Linked DNA regions of Struthio camelus. The protein of the gene in region 1 interacts with the protein of each later gene in a pairwise test. Links are inferred from orthologs where the notes say so. Each region holds a gene or a part of one and is shown on either strand. Other genes may lie near its edges. The genes, in order: BANP, FAM117B, ZMIZ2 and POGZ.

The links.
Region 2: the proteins of BANP (region 1) and FAM117B interact in binary tests that used the Homo sapiens proteins (3 or more experiments, as listed by UniProt). The two-hybrid records come from large-scale screens. The link is inferred for Struthio camelus from reciprocal best matches to the Homo sapiens genes BANP and FAM117B.
Region 3: the proteins of BANP (region 1) and ZMIZ2 interact in binary tests that used the Homo sapiens proteins (3 or more experiments, as listed by UniProt). The two-hybrid records come from large-scale screens. The link is inferred for Struthio camelus from reciprocal best matches to the Homo sapiens genes BANP and ZMIZ2.
Region 4: the proteins of BANP (region 1) and POGZ interact in binary tests that used the Homo sapiens proteins (3 or more experiments, as listed by UniProt). The two-hybrid records come from large-scale screens. The link is inferred for Struthio camelus from reciprocal best matches to the Homo sapiens genes BANP and POGZ.

What each region holds. Positions count from the first base shown.
Region 1 is NC_090951.1:3,025,020-3,032,727, forward strand, and holds the start of BANP (protein BANP), read right to left. Parts: upstream 3,152-7,708; 5' UTR 3,029-3,151; intron 1-3,028. UniProt on the Homo sapiens protein: Controls V(D)J recombination during T-cell development by repressing T-cell receptor (TCR) beta enhancer function. Binds to scaffold/matrix attachment region beta (S/MARbeta), an ATC-rich DNA sequence located upstream of the TCR beta enhancer.
Region 2 is NC_090947.1:9,794,347-9,801,973, forward strand, and holds the start of FAM117B (protein FAM117B), read right to left. Parts: upstream 3,177-7,627; 5' UTR 2,964-3,176; coding exon 2,330-2,963; intron 2,157-2,329; exon of another isoform or gene 2,064-2,156; intron 1,784-2,063; exon of another isoform or gene 1,665-1,783; coding exon of another isoform or gene 1,595-1,664; intron 1-1,594.
Region 3 is NC_090968.1:1,512,210-1,520,785, forward strand, and holds the start of ZMIZ2 (zinc finger MIZ domain-containing protein 2), read left to right. Parts: upstream 1-5,350; 5' UTR 5,351-5,458; intron 5,459-8,514; 5' UTR 8,515-8,576. Other genes in the region: OGDH (2-oxoglutarate dehydrogenase complex component E1), read left to right, coding at 1-78, 915-987, 2,726-2,889, 3,135-3,289, 3,442-3,562. UniProt on the Homo sapiens protein: Increases ligand-dependent transcriptional activity of AR and other nuclear hormone receptors.
Region 4 is NC_090971.1:209,689-217,145, reverse strand, and holds the start of POGZ (pogo transposable element with ZNF domain), read right to left. Parts: upstream 3,415-7,457; 5' UTR 3,008-3,414; intron 1-3,007. UniProt on the Homo sapiens protein: Plays a role in mitotic cell cycle progression and is involved in kinetochore assembly and mitotic sister chromatid cohesion.

The DNA.
Region 1 (7,708 bases):
ATACATATTGATAGGAAGCTAGAGACAGATAAGCAAATACCACAGATGTCTGTGTGTGTATGCAGAGAAGGGAAAGAGAGGGGCTGTTTTTCTTTATAGTTTCTACCAATTCCCATAATGGATAGAAGAGATGCATTCTTTTTTCATCACAAGATAACGATGCTCCAATTTCCAGAGGAAAAACTGAACTTACTGTATTTTTCCCTTAAGTGGTCTAAGTTAGGGTTTTAGAAATATGAACCAAGATAAAAGAATTTTGCCCAACAGGTGACATCTCTGAAAATTACTTTATTTAAAGTTTCTATATGCAAAGGATTTTAAGAAGTTAACCTTTTTTGTGCACTTTCGCTTAATGCCTTAACATGCAGTCTAATATTAAGTGCTCAGTTAAGCCTACCATATAGGAGCTTTAAAATCCTAAAACTGCAATGAAACAAATATTTGACATGACTTCGAAAGACATTTTATTCTTTTATTTTTACTTAAAAAAAAGAATACGTTTAGCTTTTCAATGAAAACGTAAAAAGAAAAAAAAAAAACAGAAAACAAATTAAATTACTTCAATAGTTAACAGCTAAATACCATGTTCCAAACTAAAGGAAATCAAATCCATGAAAAGAATTTTATTGGAGAAGTTCAGTATACATAGACATTTTGTTCTTCTAATTCTAATCATTCGATTTGCATCGTCTCCTACTACAAGTAGCTCTTTTGCTGTTCTGTTCAATTCACATAAACAAATTCTGTAGATCTCTGGGACCAGAGCTTCTGTACACAAAGACAAATGCCCATCTTCCTCTTAAAACGAATGAGCCTTCAATTACTTTAGAAAGAGCATCACAGGAATTTCAATTCAAGTCATTCTTCAGTGAAAGATATGCAGACATGCAAATTGTGAAAAAACAGAGATGTGTATTCTTCCTGCATAAGCTGCGAATCAACTTAAGAAGTTCAGGAAAAAGTTCAAGACGAAGAGCAGAGACAATCTAAAATCCTTGCAAACGTGAGTATATTAATGTAATTCATGTGGGTCTGAGCCCCACGCCAGAGCACTGCTCTTTGCAGAATCAAGGTAAACCTCTAAGTATCACTTCTGGTTACAAGGAGCTAGGCGTAGCTCAGCTTTCTTCACCTGACAGTATAAAACATATACCTTGCGTTGCGCCAAGAACAGCGCCACATGCAAGAAACAAACCTTTGTAAAACTTCTTTAGCAAAACACGTGCTGGTGGAATCCTGACTGTTGAGAATTGTATACTGTTACTGCTCGCTGTACTACTGCTGCACTTCTGACATTGTTACTCAATTACTCCTTTAAAAGTCTTAAATTTTAAGATCTGCCCTGTAACCACACAACTTTAACACAGCTAGATAATTAAGACATTAAAGCGAGTTACAGTTCTAATAAGTCAGATGATGAATTACAAAACAAAGAAAAGTTACAAAATATTCTCATCCTCTGAATCAGAGAGAATGTTAATGCTTCTAAAGTCCAAATTCAATCTTTTACCCTTCTTAATAAATTAGTCTTTCTTCTTACCATCTTTTCATGTCTTATTGAAAAGTGAACTAAAGCCAAGATATCATTTAGTGTACACAGTAGGGCTCATACAGTTTCCAAATCAATTTGTTATTCTGTTAAGATTTCTTGGGATATTCATTTGGCATATATAAATACCTTCTAACAGAATAAATCCATTGTTTCAAGAGACACTACTAATGAACTAACGCTTAAGATAAGGGTTTTTTTTCAGATCTTGCCTGAGTATTTGAGATTCTACAGACAAGTTTTATGTTTGCTGCTTGAAAGACTGACACCAATAGGGTACTACATTTAAGGTAAACTCACATATAAGTGAATTAAAAAACAAAAAAGTAGCAAAAATCCCTCCAAACTATCATTTTACAACAATCTGAAAGTTACTTCAACTGGCATCATCACTTGGTTGATAATATCCCTCCAAGCTTGTTTCCTTAAAAAAAAAAAAAATTCTTCCCTTGAGAGCACTAAAAATAAATTGGTACATAAACTGCATGACCCACAGCAGAATAAAGCTACTATATTTGGTTAAGTGCACAACTTCCCACTCAACTAGGATTTTAAAAAAAAGGAAAAAAAAAAAGAAAAATTAAAAAATGCACTATTCGAATTAGAAATAAGAACAAAAGGGAAGAGAGAGAGAGAGAGATAACTGGGAGTGCGTTGTCAGACAGGTCGCTACCGTGAGAACACTGGAAAACATCACCCCAGATACGGATGTGAAAAGCCCCTGCTATGACCCGATGACCACGCAGAGAGAACTGCGCCTCTCCCCCCCCAGCAGGCGCGAGCACAGCCGCAGACCCCTCGGCACGACGAAGGGGCAGAGGCAGCGCCGCTGTCACCGCTTATTCACCGTCTATCACGACGGGGGGAGGAGGGCGCGCGGCGACACCCAAAAACCCCTGTCCGCAGCGCCGCGTGTGCGCCACCCCCAGAGAGGGAAAGCGGCTCAGACCTGCCCCGTCCTTCAGAAAGGAGGAAACACAAGCCTCGGGCAGACGGGGGGAGAGGGCACGGTGCCCGGCGGCGCTGCCGGGGAGCAGCCGAGCCCCCCTCCCCCCCCCCCCACTCGCGGCGCTGGGCAGCGAGGGGCGCCAGGACTGAGGCGCCCCAGCCTGGCGGGGGGGGGGGGGGGCTCCCCTTCTCTCCCCAGGCCCGAGAAGGCGGGCGGGGGGGCGAGGCGACGAGGAGCAGCCCCCGAGGAGGGCCGGGCGGCGGCGGCGTCCCGCGGCGGGAGGAGGCGAGAGCCCGGCCGCCCCCCCCCACCCCGCGCCCCGCCCGGCGGAGGGGGGGGGCGGAGGCCCGCGGCCCCCCCCCTCCCCCGCCGCCGCCTCGGCCCCTCCCCGCAGCCGCCGCCTTACGGCGGCGGGAGCTCGGCCGGCGCTGTGAGGAGAGGGGAGGCTGCGAGGGCCGGCGCCGTAAGCCCGGCGTGAGGCCCCCCGGGAGCTCAGCCCCAGCCGTCCGGCGGCGGGGCGCCGCGGTTACCGTGTGCGGTGCCGAATTCTCGTGGTGTTTGTCGAGCGGCTGCGATAATGGCGTCCTTCCTCGCGAGAGATCTCCCTCTCCGCAGCGCGCAGGCGCCGCCGCGCTGCTCCCGCTCGGCCCCCGCCCGCCCCGAGCGCCCGCGCACGCGCAAGGGAGAAGCGGCCGGGCAGCCGCCCTTCACCGCCGCGCTGCCGGCCCAGACTACAACTCCCGGAGGGCAGCGCGCCGGCCCTTCGCCCCCGCCCCCGCCGAGCAGGCCGGGACCTGTAGTACACGCGCCGGAGGCTGTGCACGCTGGGAGTTGTAGTCCGCACCACACGGATGCGCCACATACAAACTCCCCCCCACACACGCACACACTCAATGCCCCCAAACCCCTCAACACCTACCTCCCTCTTTCTCCCTCATTCGCCCTGTTTCACCCTCCTGAGGCGCCAACCCGGCCCTGACACAACTGTGGGAGGCAAGCCTGAGGGCAGACTCAACAACTCCTTGCTCTGGCTGGCGCGTTGCTTTTTCCTACTCCTTTCTCAAGTCCTTTTATTAAATTTCTCCCTCCGCTAAGGGACCTTGAGCGCTTGCATCCCTGAAATGAGATGATCTGAATGGGAGCTGTCATATTAAGAAGAGAGATGTCACCACGCTCAGTACACAGCTGAAGAACAGGCAGCAAGGGGGGGGGGGGGGGAATTGGCTAAATTAGCTTACCAGACTGCTTTTTCTGTTGCTTTTCATTCCTGCATTTGGTATGAGAACAGAATGACTGGGAGAAGGTGGAAAACCTTCTGGAAACCTTCTGGGAACGACAAAAATATGCAAAAGCATGAAAAGAGAGCATGGAGGAAGATTGAAGGTAGTTCTGAGAGAAGCTGAAAAGGAGTGTTTGCCTGAAAGAACACAAACACTTAAGATTATAGTACTGTATCCTCATATACCGCACTGTGGCCCAAGCGGGAGCGTCATCGGACTTCATTTTTCAGCCTCAGCCCAGCCAATGGTGATTTTCAGACTTCTGCATAAAAAACGTTCCGCAAACGCGAAGCGTGATTCAGCCCTGCGCTGTCATGGTATGTGATTAAATCCATTCCGGTTCGGAAGTAACTGCCAATCCCGACACCTACAGACCTACAGCTAAACAGCTGGGTGTTGATGCCGCAGCTGGCGGGCTCGTGGTTTGAAACGCGGTTCTCAGGTGCTGTAACTCTGTCACGTTCAAACCCGAGGTGTCAGTGCATGAAAGTAAACTGCACGTGTCACAGCAGCTCCAGTGTCTAGAGCGTTTCAGACCCCAGGGAACCAGCAGTTCTTCCTGCTGATCTGTCTGGAAGTTATGGAGAGGGTCAAAGAGCAGTACTGAAGGGGTCTTCTGTTTCGTGCAAGGAAACATACGTTGACGGTGGCACACGCACAGTGCCTTTTTTGGAAACTGCTAGTAGTGACTTCTCAAACTGGTGCTTTTAATATTCAAAAGTTGTCACGAGCCTGGGAATTCACAACTGGCCCTTTAGGAAAACCCTTGCTTCTGCTTCCAGATTTGCAACTGTTCAGCTGAACCCATGGATTAATTTACGGTGTTCTCTTCCTTCACAAGCAGATTAGCAAGTTCATAGGTTAAACTACTTATAAAATGACTTTTTGCACAGGGTTATTCACGCCTTGCTGCACAGATTTGCCCTGTAACACATTTGGCAAACGGTTTCTGCTTGCACTCAAGCAGTTGCCAGATCCCAGCTAGGAAAACAATGATATAAACGTCAGTGCACTATCTGCTGTGGAAAGTTGCTGGTAAAAGCCTTTGCCATCATAATCCTAATCCAGTGCAGAAGCTGCCCTGCTTTCTCATCAGGAAATTCCCTCCCAGAGATTATTAGTTCATGTCCTGCTGAGGCTGTGAGCTTCCAATCCTCTCGGTACAGCCAGCAAATCACTTCTCAGGTAAAACAACACAAAACAGAAAACCGTCATGAACCAGTTGTAATATGGACCTTCAGTGGTCATAGTAACTCCAGGACATACTGGCAAGACCCAGCTAATCTCTACATCATTGATGAGAGATGGCAACATAAAAAGCAACGCAGCAGTTTAACACTAAGAGAGGGTAAAGCATTACCTCCTGCTGGTAACTCAGTCTATTCTGAGAATTGCAGTAGTCTGGAATATACCATTCACTTATTTAAGAGTTTTCCAGATATATTATTTTAGATATTTTTCTATCATTTCTTACAAGGCTGGGGGAATTCCCTTTTAAAATTTTGAATTACACCAATAATCATGAAGACATTACCTCCTGACTCCGCTATCACAGCTTGTCCCTTGTTCCCCTTGAGAGTCACACAGCCAAGTATGACATACTTTTCACATAGCAGAAAGTCTGATGGGAAATACTGGTAAATGGTAGAATAAAGGGGATCTTCCTCCGTTCACAGCCTAACAATGGAGACCTCCTCTATGCTTAAATCACAAGGGCCAAATTTGCCTCCTAGTCTTTAATTTAGGGTACTGACACATAATCAAGTGTTTCCTTTGCTCTGCAAAAACCCCTAAGCTCTACGAGCTTTCAGGAATGTGCTTACCTGAATATTTGTGCAATAAATGTCAGGAAATTCATTGTGGGTCCCCCGTTAGCGAATGAGCTCTTCACTTTACCATGGTCTAAGAGACTGCACGTGAGCAAGCACCAAGGAGAAGCTGATACACGCTAAGGTATATTGTGGCTTAACCCATGGTAACTTTTCCAAGCACCGATGTGGTTGGGGTCGAATCCATTCTTGTTCTTTTCCTCCTTAGAAAAATGAATAGTACTTCAGGGTGCTAATATATCAATTTTATTTTTTAATTTTATAAAAGAAAATACATGCTGTTGCCCTGTTGGTTTGTCGTCCCAAACTGGATAGCAAAATATTTTATTTGTTTTACTTTTTCTCCTTTTTCATCCTCATTTTTTAGTATTTCTCTCTCGCGTTTTAAATATGTGCTAACTTTTCTCTGTTGTGTTATGAAGAATCATTTGGTCCCAGGAAATATCTATCTTATTTTACCTTTGTATCCGCATTCATTTACTATTGTTTCCCAAGGGAGTTGCTGCTTTCACATGTTTTGTATGGATCACAAGAGATTGGTATCTCATTCATTGCTTTCCTCATTTTTGTTGTTAGATAAAAAACTTACCATAGCATCAAAGGTAAAAAATTAACACACTGTGCACACAAATTTGCAGCTGCAGCAGCAGCAGGAAAACAAAGCTTGCCAAACAAAGCATTTGTTTAAACAAGTGACAGGCATTCATGATTATATTCACTGCTGAGCATGTGAATATAGAAACAAAGGCATGAAGAAAACAGATGTGATCAGGGCATAGGAGTAACTCCAGAGTATTCGCCATAGGAACTCTGTAGGAATAATTTTCTTTCCCATAGATCTCAATTCTGTTTTACGCCGAGTAAACCCCATTTATTTCAGTGAAGATACTCCTGATTTGCATGAATGAGGATAGAAGGGGGCCTTGAATTCCCTCAGCAGAAAGAAAAACATTGTTACATATTTGGCCTACCCAGCTGGTCAAAATTCAGGGTCTTGTAAGGTAATTTTTGATAGACTGAGAAAGAAGGTGAGAAGGGTCAGGTATGACCTCAATGTTCTCTTATTTATTTACATACTGTTCCACTTCCCTGAATACCTCGGAGTGGGGGGAAACGATAGGAGGCTATTCCCCTTCTCAGAAATCTGCCATTCCAACAAGTTCTGCATTTGCACTTTGCCCTGCTGTGATCTTCCGAGGACCGCACTCACCACTGCTTCCGCTGGCCTTTTCCCTCTGATACACAGCTGGTATCTTTGCCCAGTATTTTTTAGTTTGCCCAGCTAAGCTGAGGCTTGCCATAGCCCATATTTAGTTGGTGAGGTACCGTTCTCATTTTCAGTCCTTTTTAATTCACTGAGATTATGAAAAACCTGAAGTGGAGTTCATCACAGTTAGTGATGATAATGGATTTTATCCTTTTCTTTAAACTGGATTGCCTGAGAACTGCCTTTTCATTCCGTGTGTAGTCCTCACATTCATATAGTTTTTTTTTTTCTTTTTAGAAATCTAGACACAAAATGTTATATAGCATCAACATACCATTAATGCTATCATTCTAAGCAGAATTTGGCCATCTCTTAATCCTGGACCTGCATTCATCTAGACACATGTTCAAAATTATTTGCAGTATAACCCAATTAATTCAGGTGTGAGAGGTAAAATTAACTAAATACAAATATTCATCAGTGACCAGAATGACAAACTGTCTCCTCTGCACATTTGCATATAACACCAGATTTGCTGATAGGCTGGAAGGTAGGGCTGCCATTCAGAGCAGTTCGGACGAGCTAGGTCAGCTGGAACCTCATGAAGTGTAACACAGACAAATGCAAAGTCCTGCACTTGGGCTGGTGGTATAACTCCATGCATCAGTACAACCTAGAGCCTGACTGCCTAGGGAGAAAAGCTCTGGAGCAAAGCCCTACAGATCCTGCTGGACAAGCGGAACACGCATCAGCGACGCACCTCTGCAGTGATGAAGGTTAACCGCGTACTGGGCTACGTTAGCAAGAGCGTGGCCAGCACGTAAAGGGAAGTCACTCTTCCCTCCTACACAGTGCTTGTGAGGACACATCTGGAATACTATATCCTATGTTTTG
Region 2 (7,627 bases), on another chromosome or scaffold:
ACAAAAAGCAGCAAAACCATACTTATTTTGCAGTAGATTCTGAACGTTACCATGAAGTGGCTTACCCCCACATGGCTTCACAATTCTAACCACATAAGCAAAAATAAAGTTCCACTTCCACGTTCTCAGCTACCATTAAGTTTTCTCATCTATATGAAATAGAAATTAATCAACTCAATCTCTAAAAAACATTGGACTACATAGTATATATGTTAAACTGGCTTGATCTGCATTTTAATTCTGGGTCAGTACAAGTCCTGTTGAGAAATTTAAATGCATGGCAGCAGTTAAAAGGACACTATTCTTCTCTTTCCCATCTTGCAAAAAGCTAGTGGGGTTATCTGTTAACACAGCAGTGAAAAACAACTAGTTATCAAATTACTTTTTTCTTTATATATACTAATTCTTAGGTCCAGTAAAGAAGTCAGCTAGACAGTGTGGTTTTAACAGGTCTCTACGTGATGAGCCGAAGATAGTGTAATTTTTTCCCCCTTATAAGTGGTCTGACATGAACCTTCACAGCTTTTGAACCTGGATCTCAGGGTAGCCCATCCTGTTCCTCAATCTCCAGGCTAGCTAGGAGACTACCTTTTGGGGGAGAATTTCTACAAAGTTCTAGGAACAAAGATGAGTTTTGTGATGTGTATAAAGTCTTTCAGATTACTAATTAACAAGAATCTCAGATGAAGAATATACACATTCCTCAATCTAAAGCCTCAGAACATGACCTTAAGCAAAACACATCACCCTTATCTGGAAAGCTGAAGATCTAAATCAGAACCTGAATGCCTTTGTGGCCTTCTCTCTTACATTTCAGCGAAACGGACATATGGTAATCTCAAAGAGGTATGTCTGAATAAAAAAAAAAAAAGAAAAAAGAAAAAAGAAAAATTAAGCCACACAGGCATTACCTTAAGTACTGTACCAGTTTGTTATGACTCTCTAATTTGGTAGCATCATTTCTCGAGAGTTAGGCTAGATAAAAACTATATTCTGGCTGCAATCACAATTTTAGAAGGAGGGGGAGAGGCAACAATTAGGATTAGTGGAAAAGTTAATGGGAATTGCGCTGGTCCTGGATTTCTGAATATACACCTCTGCCTATTATTCAACTTTGTCTAAGTACCCAGTGCAATTTCATGACAAAATACCAGCTGGAGCTTTGTTATCTTTAAAGTCACTGATTTTCCAGATTTGAGGACAATAACACAAGCCCTCATTCATGCGCTTTTGAGTAAACTTTTATCTTAAGACCAAGGATTTACATATGTAAGCCTAGCATCCTCAACCAGATGCCGCACATTGCTTACGTTTCAGTGTCCCTCAGTGAGTATGTTTTCATTATTCAAAAGCAGTAAAAAGCAGTTTGCTACAAAACATATACCATTCTCGCACTATTTTCTATCTTTGCTGTAGCGCAAGCCTGTCATCACTCTCAAGTTCACACATCCTTCTGCAGGGTTTATGCTGCAAGTAACTACTAAGAGAGAGGCACTGAAGACTTTTTTTCCTACGTACATGTGTAATGCCTACAGTGCTAGTTAGTTTTTTCAATTACAGGCTTGTGGACGTTACTTGGATCAAAAACACATACCATCTGGCATCAGAGGCACAGAAAGGGAAGATGTGAAGGCTACCCTACAGTTTCCAAACACCAAATTCATCTTAACGTTGGAGTGAAGTATTTGAAGTTCATCTCTTCTCTTCTTACACCCTTTATCCTCTCATCTGGCAACCTTTAGCAGTACTCGCGAAAACACCGCGGGACTGGCTGCACTCCTCCTCACATGACACGCTTTACTTCTTTTTCTGTCCCTTTTCCCGAGAGCCAGGAAGGGAAAGAACAGTAATACAACCAGTGAGCCCTTGGACACGTAAACACCCGACAAGCGCTGCAGCCAGGATCTAAAACCGGTACAAGCCTGGGCACAACTCCTGTCCCAACCTTCCTCTCTTCCTCCAGAAATACCGCGTGCTCTTAGCCACACCACCAACCCCCACAGGCCAACGGCTGCCACCGCCAACCCCCAGCCCTCCCGCCCCCACGAAGACCAGGCTGCAATCACAAACCCACGCACGGCCACGCCGAGCTCTCCCCCGCCGCCGCCGGGACGGGGACGGCGCCCGCCCCGCGCCCCTCCCCCGGCTCCCCTCAGGTATCCCCCGCGCGCCCCCTCAGGCTCCTCGCGCCGTTAACGGTCGCGCCGCGCGGCCCCCAACGTTCCCCCCGCCCGTAACGGTCGCGCCGCCGGTAACGGCCGCTCGGCAGCAGGTGCGCGGGGGGAAGGCGGGAGGGGGGGTGGGCAGACACGCTGACGGCAGCGCTCACCTTTACAGACGGGCGAGCTGGGGCTCTTCCTCTCCGGGGAGCTCCTGCCTTGCTCCGGCGAGCGTCGCCGATGCCGGACCCTGCCCGCGGCTGTAGCGCTACCCTCCGGCAGCGGAGGCCCCGGGGAAGAGCAAGGTGAGGGCCCGCAGCCCGGTGGCGGTGGAGGCGGCGACGGCGGCGGGGGGGGAGGTGGCGGCAGTTGGTGGGGCCGCGGGGGGCTCCCCCGCGCCCCGCCCGCGCGCGTGGGGCTGCCCCGCGAGGAGGCGGCGGCGGCGCTGCCCCCTCCACCCCCCGGCGTCTGCGTGGCCACGGCGGGGCCGGTGCGCACGCCGTTGCCGCCGCCGGCGGGCGCCGCGCGCGTGGGGCTGATGCTGCGCGAGGCGGGCGCCGCGCGTGGGTGACCCCCGCCCGGGGCGCTGGCGCCGCCGCCGCCCCCGCCGCTCCTCGTGGGGCTGCCATGTTGCTGCAGCTGCTGCTGCTGCTGCTGCTTGAGCTGGAAGGGCACCGTGGCCCGCATGGGCTGCAGGCGGCCGCTCGCTCCTGCTCCGCCGCCGCCCGCCGCCGCGGGCCCCCCTCCCCCCAAGGAGATAGCCGGGGTCGGGGAGCCGTTGCGCCTCACGCGCTGATGGGACATTGTCCGCCGGGACGCGGAGGACCGTCGGTGGCGAGGAAGGAAGGGAAAGGCGTGAGGTGCAGGCAGGTCCTCGCGGGGATCCAGGCGCCTCACGCGATCCCTTCCCCTCCTCCTCCTCCTCGCCGGCGGCGCTGCTCCCGCCGCCGCTGTGCCCAGCCCGGGGCGACCCGCGCTGCCTCCGGCCGCTCCGTGCGCCTCATCAACAATAGTGCCCCGGCCGCCCGCCCCGCCCCCCGCGCCCGCCCATTGGGCACGCCGCGGCTCCGCTCGCGCAGCTACGGCGCGCCCATTGGCTGCCGAGCGCGCTCCTGAGTGGCCGAGCCTGCGCGGCGACGGGGGACCGGGGTGGCGGGGGGGCAGCTCTTAAAGGAGCACGAGGCCGCCGGGCGGGGGCCGCCCCTCGGCCAGCCACACGTGCCGGGCGCGGGCCCCGCGGCGGGGCGGCCGGACCCACCCCCCCCCCGCCCGGTCTCGTGCTCGCGCGGCAGCTCCTGCCCCGGGAGCGCCCCGGCCGAGGCTGTGGGTGATGCCCGCTCCCCCCACGGGGCTAAGGAGAACCATCCACGATCGTCGTCTCTAAAGGCAAAGCAGACATAGGAAGTAACGGGGGGGGGGGTTGTTCTGCGAGAGCTCGCATCTTCGCATAGCGCTGCACAGCAGGGCCTGGTGAGTTGTCCAAGGTCACGCGGGAAGTCTGTAACCCGGCAGGGAAAGGCATTTACGGCTTACCCGTATCCCAAGAGCCTGTCCCAAGGAAGCAGTTGTACGTGAGAAGTAGGGCTGCTCAATTATTTTTAGCTCTAAATGCAATAGAAGAGAGGACGAGGGCTCAGGAGCAATTTATCCAATCGCTTTGCTGCCAGCTTAGCATTACTAATGATGGCCCCAGATATGTGGGTAATATCCAGGCAGATTTGACCCCCTTTTCCTTTAATTGCTGTGTTTACTGTTCTCCATTAGATTCTTTGCTCACACATCTTCGCTGCAATCTTTTAAAAGTACTTGTTAACTGCAATCAGCCTTTTAACCTGATTTATACATTAGAGAATTGAATAAATACATTTAATAGGGCATAGTTTATGAATTTGCGTTAGTTAGATGCAAGGTAAATGCCATTTAGCACTTTTAACACAAGAAGGAATCAGTAAATTCTCTCTCTCCCCTTTTGGCAAATGCCAGTTCTGTGCTACTGAAGAGGACTTTCTTTACCCAAGTTCTTTTCAGTATTGGCCTGCAAACTGCATGTTGCAATTGAATACCACTGGTGTGATACAAATGATGTGACAGCAAGTTACATATTGTTCTTGCTTGTCTTCGGCTTGTTTTTGTCTTTTTCCCCTTTTCTCCCTTGCTGTTTCTGATTGAAGCTTCCCTTACTGAAAAAGCCCTCTCTTCCCCTTTGACGAGCTTCATCCTCACAGCTGACAGTTTTAACAGTCCTGAAGGGCAAGATTATATGCACAACAGGATGCCTGGACACAGGGCTACCTAAGGCCTTGAAGATTAAAGCTCTTGTCAGACTCAAAAGCTTTTCTTAATGAGAAATCAGACTGGCCACAGGGGACAGTATCGATGTGTTTCTGCTGACCAAGTAATTTAGCTCTTGCATTCTGCACTGACTGAATTTCTTTTGAAGGACACTGGTCCTTCAAGAACGTGCTCACAGGTACTGTTAATCGTAGTAATCTGGCCTGCAGGACAGAGACATGGATCAACATCACAGTTGGCTACAAGGCTGTGCCTTTACCTGGGGAATTGTCCTGGACTACCCTTGAAAATGGCTATGTCAGGGAAAGGCACCAGAAGCCTGGCTGATCACCATCAGTCCTGTTTTACTCCTTCTTAAACTATGCACCTTACGTAAAAAATCACTCTATAAATCACACACGTAGGGTCACTTCACAGCTTTGTTCTTGTAGCCGTCACAAGTACTGCAGGTGGAATGTGGCAACGCATCATAATCATGGATAAAGCGCTTAATTAGTGAAACATCAGGGAAACAGTGCTGTCCTCACCAGGAATGGCTAAGAGACAGAGAAAAGTATGGGCTACGTGTTGTTGGCATTGGAGGTAAAGGGATCACATAATTCCCTCAGTGACTCTATGTATGTATTGCAAAGAGAATCTGCGCCTCATAATGCTCCACAGTTAAATGCCCTGGAGGTAGCAAAAGAGCACCTTGGCATGTTCTGGAGAAATAAATGGAAGCTATTTGCTGCTTTTTTGGCAGCCCAGGACAATGCTTGGTCCCACTAATGATCAGTGGTGTCCTCCTATGTTACAGGCTGATCAAGGAGTATGAACATGATTATCCTCGCTCCTCCAGGCCTGAAAGGTTGTTGCCACTGCAAGAAGTCTGGAGAGTGCAAAAGGACCTATGCAACATTTCTTTCACTTCTTTTGTTGCAATTTTCAATCTGGGCCAAAAGGTGAAATCCCCTTTACAGTTCCTTCTGGTGTGACCTAAGGAGTAGCACTTGCTGCCAGTGCCAGTACAGTTGCTCAGCAGGTTTTTATTGTGTAGATAGTTTATCCTCTCCAGAAATACTGGATTTGTTTGGAAGCAGTGTCCAGTAAAGATATTTTTAAGGCATAAAAAGATCTCAACAACTTCTAATTCCTTTTGAAGAGGCCAGAAGATAAAAGGTATTGATTCATATTTATGTACATGATGAACTTTTGCCAAGTCACAACTTTGAGTGCACAAGATATGTACAACAATTATAGTACTTCCTACATTACTGTCACAGTGCAAAAATGGCACTGCTCCACACAGTTGTTTTGAATATAAAGTAAAGCCTTTAGGAATGCTGCTCACAAGCACTTAAATATTGCTCTACATGCATTAGGCCTGAGTGAAAGTGCAGCGTGTTAAGTCATGTACTCAGACCTAATCAAACAGTGTGTACTTCATGCGTTAATTTGTATAAACTGTAACAAATGTGTTACAACAGGATCTTACTCCTACACCCTATGGAAATAATAGAAACAACTAAAGCAGCATTATGAATTACTTCAAAATAGTTTGAAAGATTTGTTTAAGTTAAACAAAAAACAAAGCAACAAACCCAGCCCACAGTAACTTGGATACAGAACCTCCTCCCCCCACCAGACCTTCCCTGTGGTTACATCTGCCAAGATTTGTGTTCTGTTTCAGCCATCGCTCCCTTACTGCACGTGAACATTAACAAATGGTGTCCGGGCCAACTGTGGACAATACATTTCGTACAGTTTCATGTGGACCCTTTAAACTGTGGCTTCTTCACGGCAGTGACTGTCTTGTTCTGCCCATAACACCTAATGTAGGGATGCCAACAATGATCCAAAAAAATAGTAATGAAAATTATCATCTTCCCCAAGGCTTTGAGCCTTCTACCGGTATCAGTGGAATGAACCTTTTAGATGATCAAATCCACTGGAGTCACTCGTGATCCCACATACATGGGATCCATCTCTGGCTTCAGCTTCTCTCTACCTCATTTTTTTCATCAACCCATTGGTTTACACGATCTCAGCAAATATGAGTATGCTCACACACCAAACTCAAGTGCCACCTCCTGAGAGGTAATGAACACTCTTACCTCCCACCAACTTGGAGGCAATCGGCACCTAACCAGAAACGTTTAATAATGTCTAGTTAGTAGCCATTGTTGGGAGATTAAATTTAGGTATTGCAGGCATCCTGTTAGATGCATTTTTTTTATAAGCATAGCATCCGATACAAGCTGAAGATACAAACAAATCCATCCAGATGTTAGAAGCGTGTCAAAAGTGTCCTCAAAGGCAGATAGATAAAAAACACAGAGCTGCATAAACAGATTTGAAACCTTCTGAAAATAGGAACATAAACAAGTCAAGGAAGTGGTCAAAACAGTAACCCTGAAGGAAAAACAGAGAAACAAAGGTCAAAGGGGTTTAACTAAGTTCGTAAGCCCAAATCCCAGTGTACTGATTATCAAAACAAGTAATACTTCAGGAAGTTCTCTCAGACTAAGGACTGAAAGTTTATGAGTAGAACTTCCCACAGAGTAATATGCATGAAAAATACGTTGTGTTTAAAATAATAGTAATGAGCAAACCTTATGAAAAAATGACAGTGCTCAAGGCAACTTCAACTATGTTCTTGGCTTATTGCATAAATAAATACATGCAGAGCAGTGCCTATAAAGCAGCACTCTGCTGTCTGAAATTGTTTACCTGTAGTTGTTGTAAGTAATATTGAAGGTTGAAAGATTAAAATTCTGTGAGTCCAAACAGTAGATTATGCCCCAGGTATTTGACTGCACTTCCTGTCTCTCCCCTGCAGACTGAGTTAGTTTTACTTGTTTATGTGGGTGTTAACACAAGCAGATGAAAAAGACATTTAAAAAAAAATAGGACGAATGTAATAGAATTTGCTTCATTCAAAAGCTGTAATAGCGTCAGCCTAGCTAATTTTTCAGAATTTCGGGGGGGGATTTGGGGAGGCCAGCAGATTAAAATAAGGTATTGAAGTTGAAACAGTGCAAATAACAAATGGGGCCTTGGACATAAATCAAGCTATATACAATAAGCAACTTAAAGCAAAATGCACCTTTGCCTCAGTTTATGCAGTTACAATCTTTAAGAAAAGTTATCATATAAATAATATCCTGAAGCTTCAGTCTCTCACTGTCATTAAGCTA
Region 3 (8,576 bases), on another chromosome or scaffold:
ATCGTCGTGAACTGCTCCACTCCAGCCAACTTCTTCCACGTCCTTCGGCGCCAGATCCTCCTGCCTTTCCGCAAACCGGTCAGTGCCAGCGGGCCCGCTCTCAGCTAGGCCTGCCTCTGCCGTTCTGCTTCGCTTAGTCCAGGTCAAAGCCAAGGCAGGGAGGCCCTGGGTCTGCGCCGAGCCTGGGGACAGGATTTAGAGCGGGCCTGCTTTTGCACCTTGTCAGCAAACATGCGCAGAACAGTGAAACGGACCCAGGAGCAAAAAGCGGGGAACCCAGCAAATGATGGGTGCTGCTCTCTGGGCTGCAGGATTGCTCCCAGCAGAGAGGAACACGCTCCCGACTGATGTGGGTTTAAAAACACTCATGTCCTTGGGAAAACAGAGCAGCCTGTCTGCTCTTGTGACCCTGCATGTCATCCCATACCCCTAGGGCTAAGCGAGCAGTTAGCCCAGGTCTGGGCCAGCAAGGACCGAGGACCCCTTGTTGCGTGGGCTGCCTCGGTACGTGACATCCTGCTAGCTGGTTCTTGCAGGCTGGGGTCTCTGCGATCCTTAGGTAGATCAGAGACATCAGGGCTGGGAGGCATTGATAAATAATCCAGTCCAGCCACTTGTGTTCCACCTCCCAGCGATCCGGCCGCATCCACGCGGGGGAGGCAGGTCTCTGGCAGCGCTTCAGCCTCTTCCCCAGGGGAAACGCAGACCGGGAAAGCAGGAGGTGTTGGAGGCTGGCGCTGAATCTTGCAGCACAGCAGCCGAGCAAGGAGCAAACCTCTCAATGGCTGCTCCTGCGTTCAGAGGTTGGAGAGGGCAGGCAGGACAGGCAGGTCTATGCTCCGGTGTTCGTTTGCAGGGGAGGTGTTTCTGGCATGGCTGACTGGCTTGCTTTGCCTCTTCTCCTCCCCCTCCAGCTCATAATCTTCACTCCAAAGTCACTGCTGCGCCACCCTGAAGCTCGCTCCAGCTTCGATGACATGCTGCCAGGTACGAGAAGCCCGGAGGTGTTTGTTTCCCCGCGCTCGGCTCTGCAGGACGAAGGGTGAAGGGCAGGAGCTAGCTTGGTGTAAAGTCCGCCTGGCAGCAGCAGCAGCCTCCCCTCGCCGCTCTTGGCCGGGGTTTCGCGCTGAAGAGCGGATTTTGCACCAGAGCTGCTGAGCAAGGCTCGCTCTTCCAGAAGCTGGGGTCTGCCTTGCCACAGCGAACCTGTGCGTGCCGGAGCCCGTCTCTGGGCTGGTGCGTGCCGGCAAACCGCTTCCCTGGGGAGGTCCTGCTAAGGCAGCCCAGTGCTGAGGCTTGCGTCCCACGGAGGATTTGCATCCTCGCGAAGCTTCGCGCTGGTGCCTGGGCACGGCAGACAAGTAGCTCTGCGCTAGGATGGGGCCGAGCTCTCCCGTGTAGGAGGAGGCTCAGCTAGCGTGGCACGAAGGCTGCTTTCCTCCCTGCTCCAGGGACGTCTGCCTGCTCCTCTCTCTCTTCAGCAGAGGCAATATGTTCACCCGAACGAACGGAGGTCAGGGCGTGCCAGGCTGCAGCCGGCTACTGAGCAGATTGGAGCCACCCATTATTAGCGCTCTGTCTGGCACCCTGGGGCTGGTGGCTCTGCCTGTCACTTGCCAGGCCAGTACACGGCTCTTAGGGCAACCGCACACCAGCATTTCCAGCGTCTCCTGAGCCCCTAGGAGCACCGGGCTTCCTCTGCGGCGAGGAAGACAGGTGGCTCAGCTTCCCGGGCGCTTTGCCGCGTCGCTTCCTCTGTCGGCAGTCACTTCCTGCCAGAGCTGCGCGGACGGGGTTTGACAACCCCACGCCCTGCGTCCTCTCGAGGGCTTGTATTCGGCACCGAAGGCTGGGTGCTCCCAGCCTTTTTCTGGCCTTGCCCAGCTGAAGGTTGCGCCCTGTCCCTTCCGCTGTGGTTTGTCTGCGTAGACTCGTATCCTCCCCACGCTGCAGGGACGAGAGCAAGCTCCTCTCTGCTGGCCCGGTGCTCTCAGTGGGGCTTAGACAGGCTGCCCACGAGTTGCACTGTGGCTAAGTCCAGGTCCAGACTTGGTCACTAGGGATGGGGCAAAACCAGGGTGGTTTAGGGTCATCTTCTGCAGGCATGCTAATAGCATCTAACTGGCATGAGCAGGTATTTTGTCCCATCCTGAGAGGAGCAGGCCCTGCCGGGGCAAGGTGCCACCTTCCAGTGTGTGCTGGTGTCCCTGGAAGGCGGGCTGCACCTCTCCCAGCAGCGGCCAGAGCTGCTTTTCCAGCCCTCTGAGATAAGCAGCTGGCCGGGCTCCTCCCCACATTCCTGCCTGATGTTCTCCTTTCTTATTTCTGGTTGAGCCACCTTGTTTCACAGACTTCCCGGGGCCTCCCTTAATGAACTACACCCTGTTTGCCCTGGGAACGCTCATTGTCACTGCCTGCCAGCAGAAGAGCAGGCAGAAGGGTCACAACCCAACCCAGGTTTGTCATTCCTGGGAGTTAACTCTCTCTGCGGTGGTGTCAGCCGGCCCCAGGTATTGTGGTCCTGTCCCGGGGAACAGCCTGTCGCTCTGTGCAGCGGGCGGGGGTGCAGTTGGGGTCAGGGACAGGAATGCAACACAGGAACGGCACAAAGCACGTTGCGCCTCCCTGGGAGACGTCGCACACGGGTGAAGGCGGCTCCCGACGCACCACGGTGTCGATCTGAGGTCGGTGCCGCTGTTAACGGTGGCGTCTTGTCTCTTTGCAGGCACCAACTTCCTCCGTGTCATCCCCGATAGCGGCCCTGCGGCCCAGAGCCCCGAGAATGTCAAGCGGGTGCTGTTCTGCACCGGCAAGGTGTACTACGACCTGACCCGGGAGCGCAAGGCCCGGCAGATGGAGGCCGACGTGGCCATCACCAGGGTGGAGCAGGTGAGCGAGGCCCCCGGTACGGTGCACGGAATTGCCCTCTGCCGCCCTGAAGGCCGGCGTTGGCTCTCTCACCGAAAAGCAGGGTCCGAGGGGATCCAGCCCGTGCGCTGGGACAGCAGGGCCTGGGGACGTGCCGTCTCGCTGTCCTGCGGCTCCGCCTGTGCCAAGCACGTGGCTTGACGGGGCGCGGGAAGCGGGTCGTTTCCCCTCGGCTCTGTCCCGGTGACGGCTCTCCCCTCCCGCAGTTGTCTCCGTTCCCCTTCGACCTCCTCCAGAAGGAAGCGCAGAAGTACCCCAACGCCGAGCTGGTCTGGTGCCAGGAGGAGCACAAAAACCAGGGCTATTACGACTACGTGAAACCCCGTCTCCGCACCACCATCAACCGGGCCAAGCCCGTGTGGTAAGGAGCAGGGGCCGAGGCCCCGCTGCCGCGGCGGGTGCCGGCTGGGCCCCGCTTTGGCCGAGGCGCCTACGCCGCAGCCCTCCCTCGGCGTCTCAAGGCGCCAAGGCCTCGCGACGTGTCCCTGACCCCACTTCCCTTCGCCGCCGCAGGTACGCGGGGCGAGAGCCCGCCGCTGCCCCCGCCACCGGCAACAAGAAGACCCACTTGACCGAGCTGCAGCGGCTCCTCGACACAGCCTTCAACCTGGACGCCTTCAAGGACCTGGCCTAAGCCGCCGCGCGGCCGCTGCAGCATGCTCTCGGCTCTCTGTCTGTCTGTCTCTCGCTCGCCTCCTGTCTCCGTCCTTAACTACAGACCTTGTAAACTAAACGCCGGCGCCTGGAGTCCTTGTCCATCCCGCCGGCGCCTTGCCTTGCGCTGGGCCCCGTCGGCAGCGAGCTTGGCGTGGTTCGCCTCTCCCGCGGGCTCCGCCGCAGCCCCACGGCGGCCCCGCCGGAGGCAGAGGGGTTACGGGCTGCATCCCCGCGCGTCGGGGGGGCTGCGACCCTCGGCTCCCTTCCCCGGGAGCGCCGGGCTTTGTTCGACTTCGCCCTGGGGAGAGGAACCCAGCGCTGGGCCCCGTTTGTCCCAGTCGGGCCGGTGCTGCGCTGCCCGTGCTGGTCTCTGGGCTGACTTAAAAACAGAGAAACTCCCCGGCTCGGAGGAGGAGGGAGCCGGGCGGTGGCCTCTGCTCTCCTGCCACCCCCTGCCAGCTCGGGGCGCGCGGAGCACCTCGCTTCTGGGCCGAGCGCGCCTGTCCCGGGCGGGCGCCCGGCCCCTCGGGGTGCCGCCGTGGGGTCCCTGCCGGAAGGGCCGAGCGGCGGCTCCCCCCGGGCTGAGTCACGTCCTGGCCGGGCCCTCCCTGCCGGCTTCCTTCCTGCGGCGCGGCCGCGACCCCCGGCGCGCCAGGGTGGGGTGTGCACGTGTGACACGCGTGTGCGCGCACAGGCGCGCACGCACAACCTGTCCCGCACCTGCCAACGGCCAGGCGCGCCAGCACGCCCTCGCGCGCTGTCACGCTGGCAACGCAACCTCTCGCCTGCACAACCACCCCCTGGTCTTACACACGCGCTTCGCAGTCAAGCACGCAACACCTCTCGGTCACGCTGTCACATACACGCGCTGGCTGTGCGCACACAACTTACATGCACAGGCATACAGTCTGTTACACTGGCGCATGGTCACATACACCCCACAAGCCCTGTCAGTCACACGTGTACACATGCAACCCCTCACACTGTCACACAACCCCTTGCAGGTAGTGTCAGGCGCACACACAACCCCTCGCGCATGCTGTCCCATAGTTACGTACACAACCCCAGGCGCGCACAGTCCCTCACAGTCACACACACAGTCAGATTGTCACAGCCCCGCAGGCAGGCACACTGTCTCACCCCCCCCCGCTGTCACACGCAGTCACAACCCCATAGCCACACACACACACACACACAACCCCACCCAGCCTCGCCCACAGCGTCGCGCACCGCCCCACAGGCAGTCGCGCGCCGCCGTTCGCCTCACGGCCGCGCGCGCAGCACCCCTCACGCAGTCACGCGCGCGCAACCCGTCGGGTGCGCGCGCACACGCGCCCCCCGCGCGCCCGCCCGCCGCCGCGGTCATCACACACACACACAGACCCGCGCAGGCGCACTCGCAGCCCCTCACCCCCCCCCCCCCGCACGCACAACCTCCCCCCCCCAACCCCGTCACGCGCGCGTCACCCGCCCCGCGCGCGCCGCTCGCGCGCTCGGCGCTCGGCTGCCCGCGCCTGCCGCCGCTGCCGCCGCCGCCGCCGCCGCTGCGCGGGGGGGGGAGGGTGGGCGGGGGGGGCCGCGGCCCGCCCCTGCATACTGATGAGCTCGCGGCTCCATTGTGCGCGGCGCGCGGCGGCGCGGGCACGGCGCGGGCTCGGCTCGGCTCGGCTCGGCCCGGCTCGGCTCGGCTCGACCCGGCTCGGCTCGGCCCGGCCCAGCCCGGCCGGCTGCGCTCGCCCCGCCGCCGCCGCCGCCGCCGCCGCACCACCACCACCATGGAGCCGGGGCCGCGCGCGGGCTGAAAATCCCGCGCAGCTTCCGCGCAGCCGCGCGGGCACGGCGCCGCCAGGGCCATTTTGGGCCGCTCGCGACGGTGAGTGCGGGCAGCGCCGGGGGCCGCGGCCGGCAGCGCCCCGCGCCCCCTCCCCTCCCCTCCCCCCCGCCCCGCTCCTCGCGGCGGCGGGAGGGCGGTTGCCATGGCGACGCGGCGGGGGGCGGCCGGGGCCGGGGCCGGGGCCGGGGCGGGGGCGGCGCGGCCGGGGCTTTCCGCGGCTGCGGGCGCCTCGCCGGCCTCGGGGCTCCCGCCGCGGCGGGGGGGTGGGGGGGGCCGTCGCGGGGTGTCGCCGGGCCTTGGGGACCCCGGCGCGGGGGTGTCACCGGGATCTGGGCCGGGGCTCCTGTCACGGGGCGGCCCACGGCCCTCGGGCACCCGGGGCTGCTGCGACCGCGGTGCCGCTGCGCCCCTCGGGGAGCCGGGGCGGGGGGCTCCTGTCACGGCGGTGCCACCATGGCCGAGGCCCTCGGGGAGCCGGGGCGGGGGGCTCCTGTCACGGCGGTGCCACCATGGCCGAGGCCCTCGGGGAGCCGGGGCGGGGGGCTCCTGTCACGGCGGTGCCACCATGGCCGAGGCCCTCGGGGAGCCGGGGCGGGGGGCTCCTGTCACGGCGGTGCCACTGTGCCCACGACCCTCGGGAACTGGGGATGAGGGGGGCTCCTGTCACGGCGGTGCCACTGTGCCCACGACCCTCGGGGACATGCGATGGGGGGGCTCCTGTCACCGCGGTGCCACCGTGCCCACAGCCCTTGGGGACCCGGGACAGGGGGGCTCCTGTCACCGCGGTGGCACTGTGCCCACGGCCCTTGGGGACATGTGATGGGGGGGCTCCTGTCACAGCGGTGCCACCGTGCCCATGGCCCTCAGGGATCTGGGTCGGGGGGCTCCTGTCACGGCGGTGCCACCGTGCCCATGGCCCTCAGGGATCTGGGTCGGGGGGCTCCTGTCACGGCGGTGCCACCGTGCCCACGAGCCTCGGGGACATGCGATGGGGGGGCTCCTGTCACAGCGGTGCCACCGTGCCCACGACCCTCGGGGACATGCGATGGGGGCCTCCTGTCATGGTGATGCCACCATGCCCACGGCCCTTGGGGACACGGGATGGGGGGGACTCCTGTCCCAGTGGTGCTACTGTGCCCACAGCCCTTGGGGACCTGGGTCAGGGGGCTCTTGTCATCACGGTGCCACCATGACCACGACCCTCGGGTCGTGGGGGCTCCTGTCACCGCGGTGGCACTGTGCCCACGGCCCTTGGGGACATGCGATGGGGGGGCTCCTGTCACAGCGGTGCCACCGTGCCCATGGCCCTTCGGGACCCAGGACGGGGGCTCCTGTCACGGCAGTGCCACCATGCCCATGGCCCTCAGGGATCTGGGTCAGGGGGCTCCTGTCACCACGGTGCCACCGTCCCCACAACCCTCGGGGACCCAGGATGGGGGGCTCCTGTCACGGTGGTGCCACCAATCCCACAGCCCTTGGGGACCCGGGATGGGGGGCTCCTGTCACGGCGGTGCCACCGTGCCCACGGCCGTTGGGGACATGGGACGGGGGGCTCCTGTCACCGTGGTGTCACCAAACCCACAGCCCTTGGGGACACGGGACGGGGGCCTCCTGTCACGGCAGTGCCACCATGGCCCTTGGGGACACAGGACAGGGGGCTCCTGTCACGGCAGTGGCACTGTGCCCACGACCCTCGGGGAGCCAGGATGGGGGAGCTCCTGTCACAGCAGGGTCACCGTGCCCATGGCCCTCGGGGACCTGGGGCAAGGGGCCTCCTGTCACAGCAGTGCCACTGTGCCTGTGTCTCTTGGGGACCTGGGACGGGGGGGGGGACTCCTGTCCCATTGGTGTCACTGTGCCCACAACCCTCGGGGACCTGGAACCGGTTTTGGGACAGGACCGATGCCCCTGTCCCTTCCCTGGGTGGCTCGTGCCACCACAGCACCTCACCCAGCGCACGGCCTCCCCCTTGGGTCACCCACGGGGCATCCCGTGGCCTCGTCCCCCTCCCTGTGCCACGGCCAGGCGCCCGCTGAGCCCCGAGTGGCACCACGGCCAAGCCCCCTCCGTGCTGTGACTGTCACCAGCCCGAAGCGGCCACTGGACCTGGCACCCTCTGGGGTGGGTCCGTGGCACCCTGCGGGTGCAGCACCCAGGGGTGCTCAGCACCAGCGCGGGTTGGACACTGGGGAAATGGGGACAGGCCCTGGGCGCCTCCACCCTGGACTTGCATAACGCTCGGTCCGTGGCCGGGGCTGCGAGGGCACCCGAGGCCAGGGCGGCGGGTGCCGCAGCACCCGTGGGAACCCCAGCCGGCATGGGGGACCCGGGCTTCGGCGGCGAGGCCGGTGCCCCGGGGATCTCCCACCCTCGTCAGGGCAGCGAACGGGAGATGGCGCTGGGTGCTGGGGTGGGCCCGGCCCGTGGCTCCGTCCTCGTGGTGGCTGCGGCCGCGACGTCACGGCGCGGGGTCCAGAGGGAACTGAAAGCGCCCGGGCTAGTGCGGTGCCACCGCGCCAGGCTGGAAATACCCCGGGGCAAGCGCCGTGGGCAGGGGGACGAAGCCTGGTGGCCGTGGGGGCCGCGTCTCGCCCTCGGCTGCGTCCCTGCCGCTGGCGTCTCGCCCGAGCTGGCGCGGAAAGTCCCTCTGCGGTTTCCTCCGGCCGCGTGGGCGCCGGGGAAATGCCACGGCGCCGGCACGCGTGGCGCCCGGCGCGGGATTTTCGGAGGGACGGTGCGGGGCGACGGGCGCGCGGGGCAGAGCAGCCCCGTGGCGCCTGCTGCACCGCGAGGGTTTGGAGCGGGGGCGTTTCGGGGGGCCACGTGCCCCGTGGGGCTGGCGGAAATGGGCGGGCGCGTGGCGGGGCCGTCCCCGTGCCAGGGCCAGGCAGGACGCCAAGTCCTCGCGCGGGGACGCCGCGGTGTCGGCGGCGGGGGGGGGCCGCCCGGATGCCTGGGTTCACGCTGTGCCACGGGGAAGGGCACCGCCGGGAGCTGGGGGGCAGAGACACCACGCGTGGCTCCCTCCCCCCCACCGCCGCCGTCCCTTTCCCCCCCACCCATGCCCCCTGCTAACGCCCCGCCGCGTCCCGCAGCCCCGGTGACACCGTCCCGCCGGCGCTGCGCCCGCCGCGGCCACAGAAGGCCCAGCCTGCGC
Region 4 (7,457 bases), on another chromosome or scaffold:
TATTATGTCTTACTTTTATGAATGTGCAAGCTCAACTGAACTGCTGTCTTGTTTCTTATTTTTTCACTTAGTTTTGATTATATGCACTTAAAGGCAAGGCAGGTATCTTAACTTTTTAAGAACTAAAAAGCCTAATGAGGTTTTGTTAAATGTGAATGCAAATTAATCCTATGATGAAGGCTTCTGCTGTCAAGACATGCTGCAGTCCCTTCTTTGAAAAAAGGATAATGCTCTTCCGTGGCTGTAATGACTAACTGGTACAGTTTAAAACTGATAAAAATCTAACTGATGAAAATACATATTGGATGATGATTTCATTATTGTTTATATGGCTATTCATCATCAGCAACATCTCTGATAGAAGAGGGTAGGTAAAAAGAACTATGCAAGTTGAATGCCAGAATTGAACAGTTATATCCTTCAGGCGACGGTAAATTTATTTTTGTTGACTGATGTGGTTGACTTGACTTTGCTGGCTACTGAAATTATTTTAAAAGGCTTATTAAACTTTCTATGAATACTATCATCTTAAGTCTTATATGTCTTATTAAAGGCTTTGAAGTGTGCAATGCCTACTAATTAAAATGTATTATTATTACACACCCAATTATCATGATTATTATCTACCTTCATGTTTGAATTGCAGAACAATAAAAATGTACTGCTTTCCGATATTTGCCTCTGCAGACTGGCTTAACACTTTGGCACCTTTTGTGACCCTAGGACTACCCATAAGCTGCAAGCCTGTGCTTCTAGAGTCCAAGAGCATGCCTATAGCTATGTTTGTGCAACTGGCTCTTTTGTGAGTAGACACTATACAGCACTCTACTAATTTCAATCTGGACACAGGCTCTACTTGCATGAAGACAGTTGTACCTTCTGTGACAGTATCTAAGCAGCTGTGGGGATCACGCATACTAACAATGTAACCATATATAACCATAAACACAAGACCAACCACAAGTAACACTTGCAGAACCCTACCCGCAGCTAGAGCTTAAAGTAGCAAGGCAGAGGAAGTTCTTTGGGTGGGAAGATCCACTGGACAATTTTACCTATGTTAATAATCCACTGGACAATTTTACGTATGTTAATAATTCTACAATAGAAAAAAAGATGCGCATACAGTAAGCTAGACCTTACATTCAAAGATAAAATTTAACATCTGACAACCTCAAACTACTATACTGTATACACTGAGATCTAGGAAAGAGAGGATGCAATTTGTATATCCTTGCAAAGTATTTCCTAAAAGAAGCAACAGATTCCCCTTCCTCTACCCCCCACTTCCAATCACTCACTTGTGCCCCATTTGGCATGTCTTGGTGACAGCTGCAACTGCTGCCAAGTTAATAAAAATAAAGCTGTGTGTGTTGTCATGTGTTGCATGTTTTCTGCAAGGGTTTTGGGCAGCAGAATTCATGCCTCTCCCACATCTCCACACGTTTTATGTCACAGCATAGACAAGGGGAAGAAGAAAGGATGGCCTAATAGCAGCAGTCTAGGTTTCCCACATACTAGGGAGAGCAGTAGCATGGTAAGGACCAGGTAAAAGGAAGCAAATGCATTGAGCAGTAGCATGGTAAGGACCAGGTAAAAGGAAGCAAATGCATTGATGATACCAAACATCTAATTTTTAATACCTGTAGCCTGAGGAATCAGCTATGGGGTGTTTCCATACAGTCTTTCAGTGGACCAAATCTTTTGAGAAATGCAGGAGCCCACTAAACTGACTCCCCGACCCGGCACACCAAACTGTGTTACTATAGCCTAGCAAGAGGCCAGGCAAGCAGGTAGATCAAGGCATGCTGCTGACCAGGGAAAAAGTGCTGGCCAAGGGCAGCAAGGAATCCAAGATTTCAAGTACAGCAAGCAAGTACAGTACAAGGACCTGCAGCCTAACGCCAAACAAAAACAAAAAACAAACCTCCCCCTCTTTACATACTTAGAAGCTGATGTGCTTGGGAAGAGCCTTTTCCACTGGACACTGGGGACAAGGTGAAGAAGTAACTAACAGTCTAAAGAAGGCATGCTTGTGGGAAGGGGGGGAGGGGTCCAACACTGATGTGGTGGCACCTGTCTTGTCCTGAGGACAGGAAAGATGACACTGAAGGCACAGGTGAGCAACAAGTCAAGCAGTTCCTGTTCCTGAGCGGTCAGCTCCTGCGGAGAGGGTTATTAGGCAGGCAAACCCAGATCCCCTCAGCCAGGAAGGTAATGGAGCGGTGGAGAACAGGCAGGCCAAAAAGGGGTTCTCTCACCCTCCAGAGTAGACAGAGACTATCCTCACTGCTAACTTCCCTTAAGAAAGGCAGAAAGGACATTTATCCACAGGAAGAAAGCAAAACCCGTCCTCAGTTTATTGTGGCTGCTAAGAAAGAGAGAGAAAAATAATCCCTGTGCCCAACATGGCCGCCCACCCAGCACCAGCCGCGGGAAAGGTGGGGGGGGAGGTAAGATAGGGAGGATGCAGCCGTCCCCTCCCCCGGCGGGGGGGGGAGTGGGGGCCCTGTGTGAGCCGGGAAAAGGCACCGCTCGGCGCCGAGGTGTTTTGTTTGCGCGGTGGGGGGGGGGGGGGGAGCGCGAAGGGGAGGGGGGGAAGCGGAGGGAGCCACCAAGGCCGCTTCACCGCCTCCCCCCCTCCAGGAGGGTGCGGGGAGGGGTGCGCGGATCACTCCGCCTCCCCCAGCCCGGGCGGGCGAGCGGCGGCATTCCGCCGCCCAGCGGGAGCCGCGGCGGCTCCTCCCCCTCCTCCGCCTCGGCAGCCCCGAGCCCTCCCTCCCGCCGCCGCGGCGCTCGCGCTCCCTCCTCCCCGCCGCCAGCGTCTCGCGGCCGCTTTGTGTACGGCGCGCTGGCCCCGCCGCCGCCGCCCCCCCAGCAGCTCCCCCCTCCCCCAGACCCGGGCGGTTCGAACCGGTTCCAACGGTCACCGACCGCCACCCGCGCGGCCCCCTGCCCTCCTCCCGCCGCCCTCCCGCCCCCACATAACGGACTGGCGCCAACTCACCTTCCTCGCTCGCTCCCTCTTTCTGCCGCCGCCGCCTCCTCCGCCGAGGCTGCTCGCACACGCTCTTAAAGTGACACACACACGCCCCCCCGCACGGCGCCGCTTTCAGGGCGAAGCGAGAGGCAGGGGAGGGCAGGTGGCATGAGCTCCCCAACCCCCCCTCCCCGCGGGAACCTCTATTGTGATGATGCTGAGGAGGATTATTAATTTCTCTCTTCTATATATATTTTTTTTTTCGCGAAGGGGGCGACTCCCCGCTTTTCTCCCCCCCCCGCTCTGTCAGAAGGAAAAAAAAAGAGCCCTGCGGGCTGATACACACAAGAAGGCACCCACAGACACACACACACACACACATACACACACATACACACACACACAAAAAAAGGGGACCTGGCCGGCGGAGGGATACGGTGACGTCATTTCCTCCTGGGCCCCGGGGCGGCGGGCGGATTGGCGCGCGGCGGGATGACGTCACCGGGAGGCCGGCGCACCCTAGCCTGCCCCTGGCCAAGTTTGCGTGAGGCGCAAAGGCGGCGGGGCGGGCTCGGCTCCCCCTCCCCTCCCTCCCCTCCCTCCCCTCCCTCCCCGCCCCGCCCCGCCCCGCCCCGCCGGCGGCCGCCGCTGCCCCTGCGCCCCCGCGCCCCCGCCCCCGGGGAGCCGCCGCCGCCGCCGCCGCCGCCGCCGCGCGGGGCGCCTCGGGGCCCGGGCTTCCCCCGCGCCGAGGCCTTGCCCCGAGGCCCGCGTGGCGCGCCCTGCCCCGCCGGCGACGCCTGGCCTCCGTGCTGCCGGGCGGGCGCCCGCGGCGGGGCTGCCTGCGGCGGCCCCCAGGCCTGGCCGGCGCCCCCGGCGCCCGACCGCCTCCCGGGGCCGCCGCCGGAGCCTGGGGAGCTCAGCTGCGTGTAGGCAGGCTCCGGGGCAGGTGCCCTCGCGGGCCCTCAGGCCCTCGCGCCTTCCTTGGCTGCGCTCAGCCCCGCTGCGGTTGCTGGCCTTCAGCTAGCCCGATGGTGACGGCTCGCCGTAGGCGCAGCGACAACCAGGTGGTTCATGTTATGATTAGGACTGAAAGTTACAATGCAGAGTTTTATTTTGGTGGTTTTGGTGTGGCCAAGAGTCAAGCCAGCCTAGTAGCTGTCTTGGGAAAGATGGGAAGAGCTGCTGATGTGGTTACAGGGCTGAAACCCATCGGCCGCAAAGGGTAACTGGTTCAGTGGCTGGTGGCGTTGCTGGGATTCAGCTCCGTAGCATGGCTAGTAATGCCTCTCAGGTGGCTGGGTCTCAAAACAACCACCTCCAGAAGATAACTCTCAGTGGTTAGAGATGTCCAGGGCCCACAAAATTTGAGGCCTTTTTGATAGAAAGTAGAGATAAATAGTTGCATAGCCCTTCAAAAAAACTCAGTCACATCAAAAGTTGGCAGTGATTTCATCCCTCAGTGACAGCCTCAAGGAGGAGACAAAGGATTAAATTGTCATAAACTTCTACAGCTTCTGTAGAGATTGCAAGGAAGTCAGAACTGAGGCGCGTAGATATAGCAGTACAGACCAACCTTAGGAGCTGTCCACAGAGATAAAAAGGCTTTGCTTAAGTGGATACTTAAACCCGTACCTAACTTTAAGTATATAAACAATCCAAATATAATCAAAGCAACTATGTAAATGCTTAAAATTATGCATTTGCTTAAGTACCTTGCTGGATCAGTGCCATGTAAGTGTCCTGGGCTGTCAAGCCAACAGATAAAATCAGTGACTGTGTTTCTCCCTAACATAAATTTAAATGGTTTATATCCTTAGTAATAAACATATTATTGTGAATAATTTAGTAATGCTAGGACATACAGCTTTTAACTGCGTTCAGTACAGGCAGAATATTGAAGAGAATATGGTGAGGATAATTGAAGAGAATTGAGAATAATGTGTGGTTAGTATTAATAGTTAACGTATTTAACAAAAATACGTGTATAGATTTTAGAATTCTTTTAACCTGTTTTCAACATCCTTGAAATGTTAGCTTATTCATTCTTGAAAAAACTATTTAGGAATTTGGTAGGTAGTATATTTCCCAAATGGACCCCCTTGCTGTGATATCCATGTGTTGCTAGAATGTGATTTATTATTCTGCAGTTCATTAAGCAAGCACATTAATTTTCTTCTGTTGCTCTTCATGAGTTACCAGTCATTCTTCCTAGTTTGTACAGTACACCAGGCAACTTCACGTCATACTGAAGGGGGGAAGCATTTTCATTTAACTGTGTGTCATCTCTAAATCATATATATATATATATATATATATATATATGTATGTATATGTATATATATATGCAACATGAAGGGCCACATTCTCTTCTGTGGTTATGCCACTGATAATAATAACAAATACTATTATCAGTAGTTATACATTTGTATTCCTGACTGCACTTTGGAGCCTCTGCCTTGGATGAAGTATTATTTAATTATTTCATATAGTACTAGCAACTTTCACTGGCTTTTTCCAAAAATGTCATCTGGAGACAGAAGCTATGCATAAAAAGTAATTTTTCATTGAATAAAAAGGAAAACAGCCACTAATACTGGCATTGCTAGTGATGGAAAAAGTTAGTTTGTAATCGGAATTCCGATGTCAATAGCAACTAGGATTTACTGATGAAGTTTTACAGTACTGACTGATGAATAATGTTTGTGTTCACCAATGAAAATATCACTTACTGATCCCAAATTTGATTTCTTCCATGTAAATGCAATATTTCTTATACCTAAAGTGAAAAAAAGAATTGACCATGGTGATTTTGTCTTTATCCAGTGTGTGTACTGCAGATACCAAATTCAAATGAAATTAATGACAGAATGTAGCTGTTTTAAATCATGTCAGAACTGATGAGTTTTTTTGTTTTTCATTCACAAGTGGAACAGAAGGAAAGTTCTCTATTTGGGGGAGTACAATAAAATGAGATTTTTTCATTTGCTGTTGAAATGCATAAATTCACTAGGACAGTTAGACAGGAGTCTGATATTCTTGCTCCAAAAAGAAAGTTCCTTTTTATTTAGGAAAAAATTATTAGTTACATATATTTTACAGTATATAGGTGAACATTTGCATTTCATCCAATAAATAGCAACTGTACCTGCACCCTGGACATTTTACTAGATTTGCTGCACTACAGGTGCTTACATTGATGATCTGCAGCTAAAAAGAAAAAAATCTTGAAGTGCAAAGAAAGTAAATATCTGTGGGAAAAAAAAAACTATTTTCCTTACTACTCATTCACAAGAAAAACCGACTGTGTTTAGGTCAGCATCCATGAACCAATCTAAGTATGATGGTAAAGCAGGTCCAGATATGCATCCCAACATAATCCTTACACGTTTTCCTAATGTAATTTAAATTTTAGTAAAAAGTTTGATTGACACAGGAAAACTCAGTTGATAAATTACATATCTCAAAGAGAGTAAATTAGAATATTTTGTTTTGCTTCTGCAGGTTGCCAGTGTTTTGGACGTTTGCTGTGTAAGGCTTTTGCCAGGGGTCTAAGATTATAACCACCTGCAGCCTCCTTGGTGTCAAAGCAAAAAGTCAAAAGGTTTCACAATATGGTATTAGAATAGCTGAGAAACTCTTTGCAAGGATGTACTTTAGCTCTGAAAGTGGAACGAGATGTAGACATTTTCCAATTCTTAACTATATTCAGAAAAATTTAGTGCGGGGCTGGCCAGAAGAACAAATAAAGATATCAAGGGAGCATAAATTTCCACTCGAATATGTTTGAAAGAAACAAATGTTGAGAATGCAACTTACAATATGAAAACAAAATTTTATATATAATATATATTTAATATATAGTGTGTGTGTATGTACATGTTTTATATATATATGAGACTTCTTTTTTTCTTGTGGCAGATAGGTTGAGCCACATATGTGAAGGCAGACAGATGCTTATGCAGTGAGTCATGCTGGTGGCCCAAAACACTCGAGCTTACTACTTAATTGTCAAATTGTCAAATTTTCTCTGATTTTTTCAATTCATTTGTCTGCACTTCAAGTGTAGGACGTTTCATTGTTTCCTTTTGGTTACAGAACTGTCTTTCCATTTCACTTATACCACTGTATTCAAACTTAAATTTAAGGTTTAATTATTATTCCTTAGATCTGAAAGTTTAAAGCATCCACATGTTTTAACTTACATATAAAGTTTTGAACTTTTCTTTTTTCTCAAAAAAAAATTGAAATAAATGTCTCTAGATCTTCCTAAAATGCTTTTACCAATCTCCCCTGGAAACATCCATGAAGCAGAAATCAAGTGTGGTGTTTTATTTCAAAAGACTGGATGTGGGGAATCCTCCATTAAATATTTTTCCTTAATATTTTGCACAAATGGGTCACTGTGATGCCTGAGGATACCTATTAATTAGTTCCATGTTCAATTTAATTCTTAAATACATTGTTTCTCATGCATATT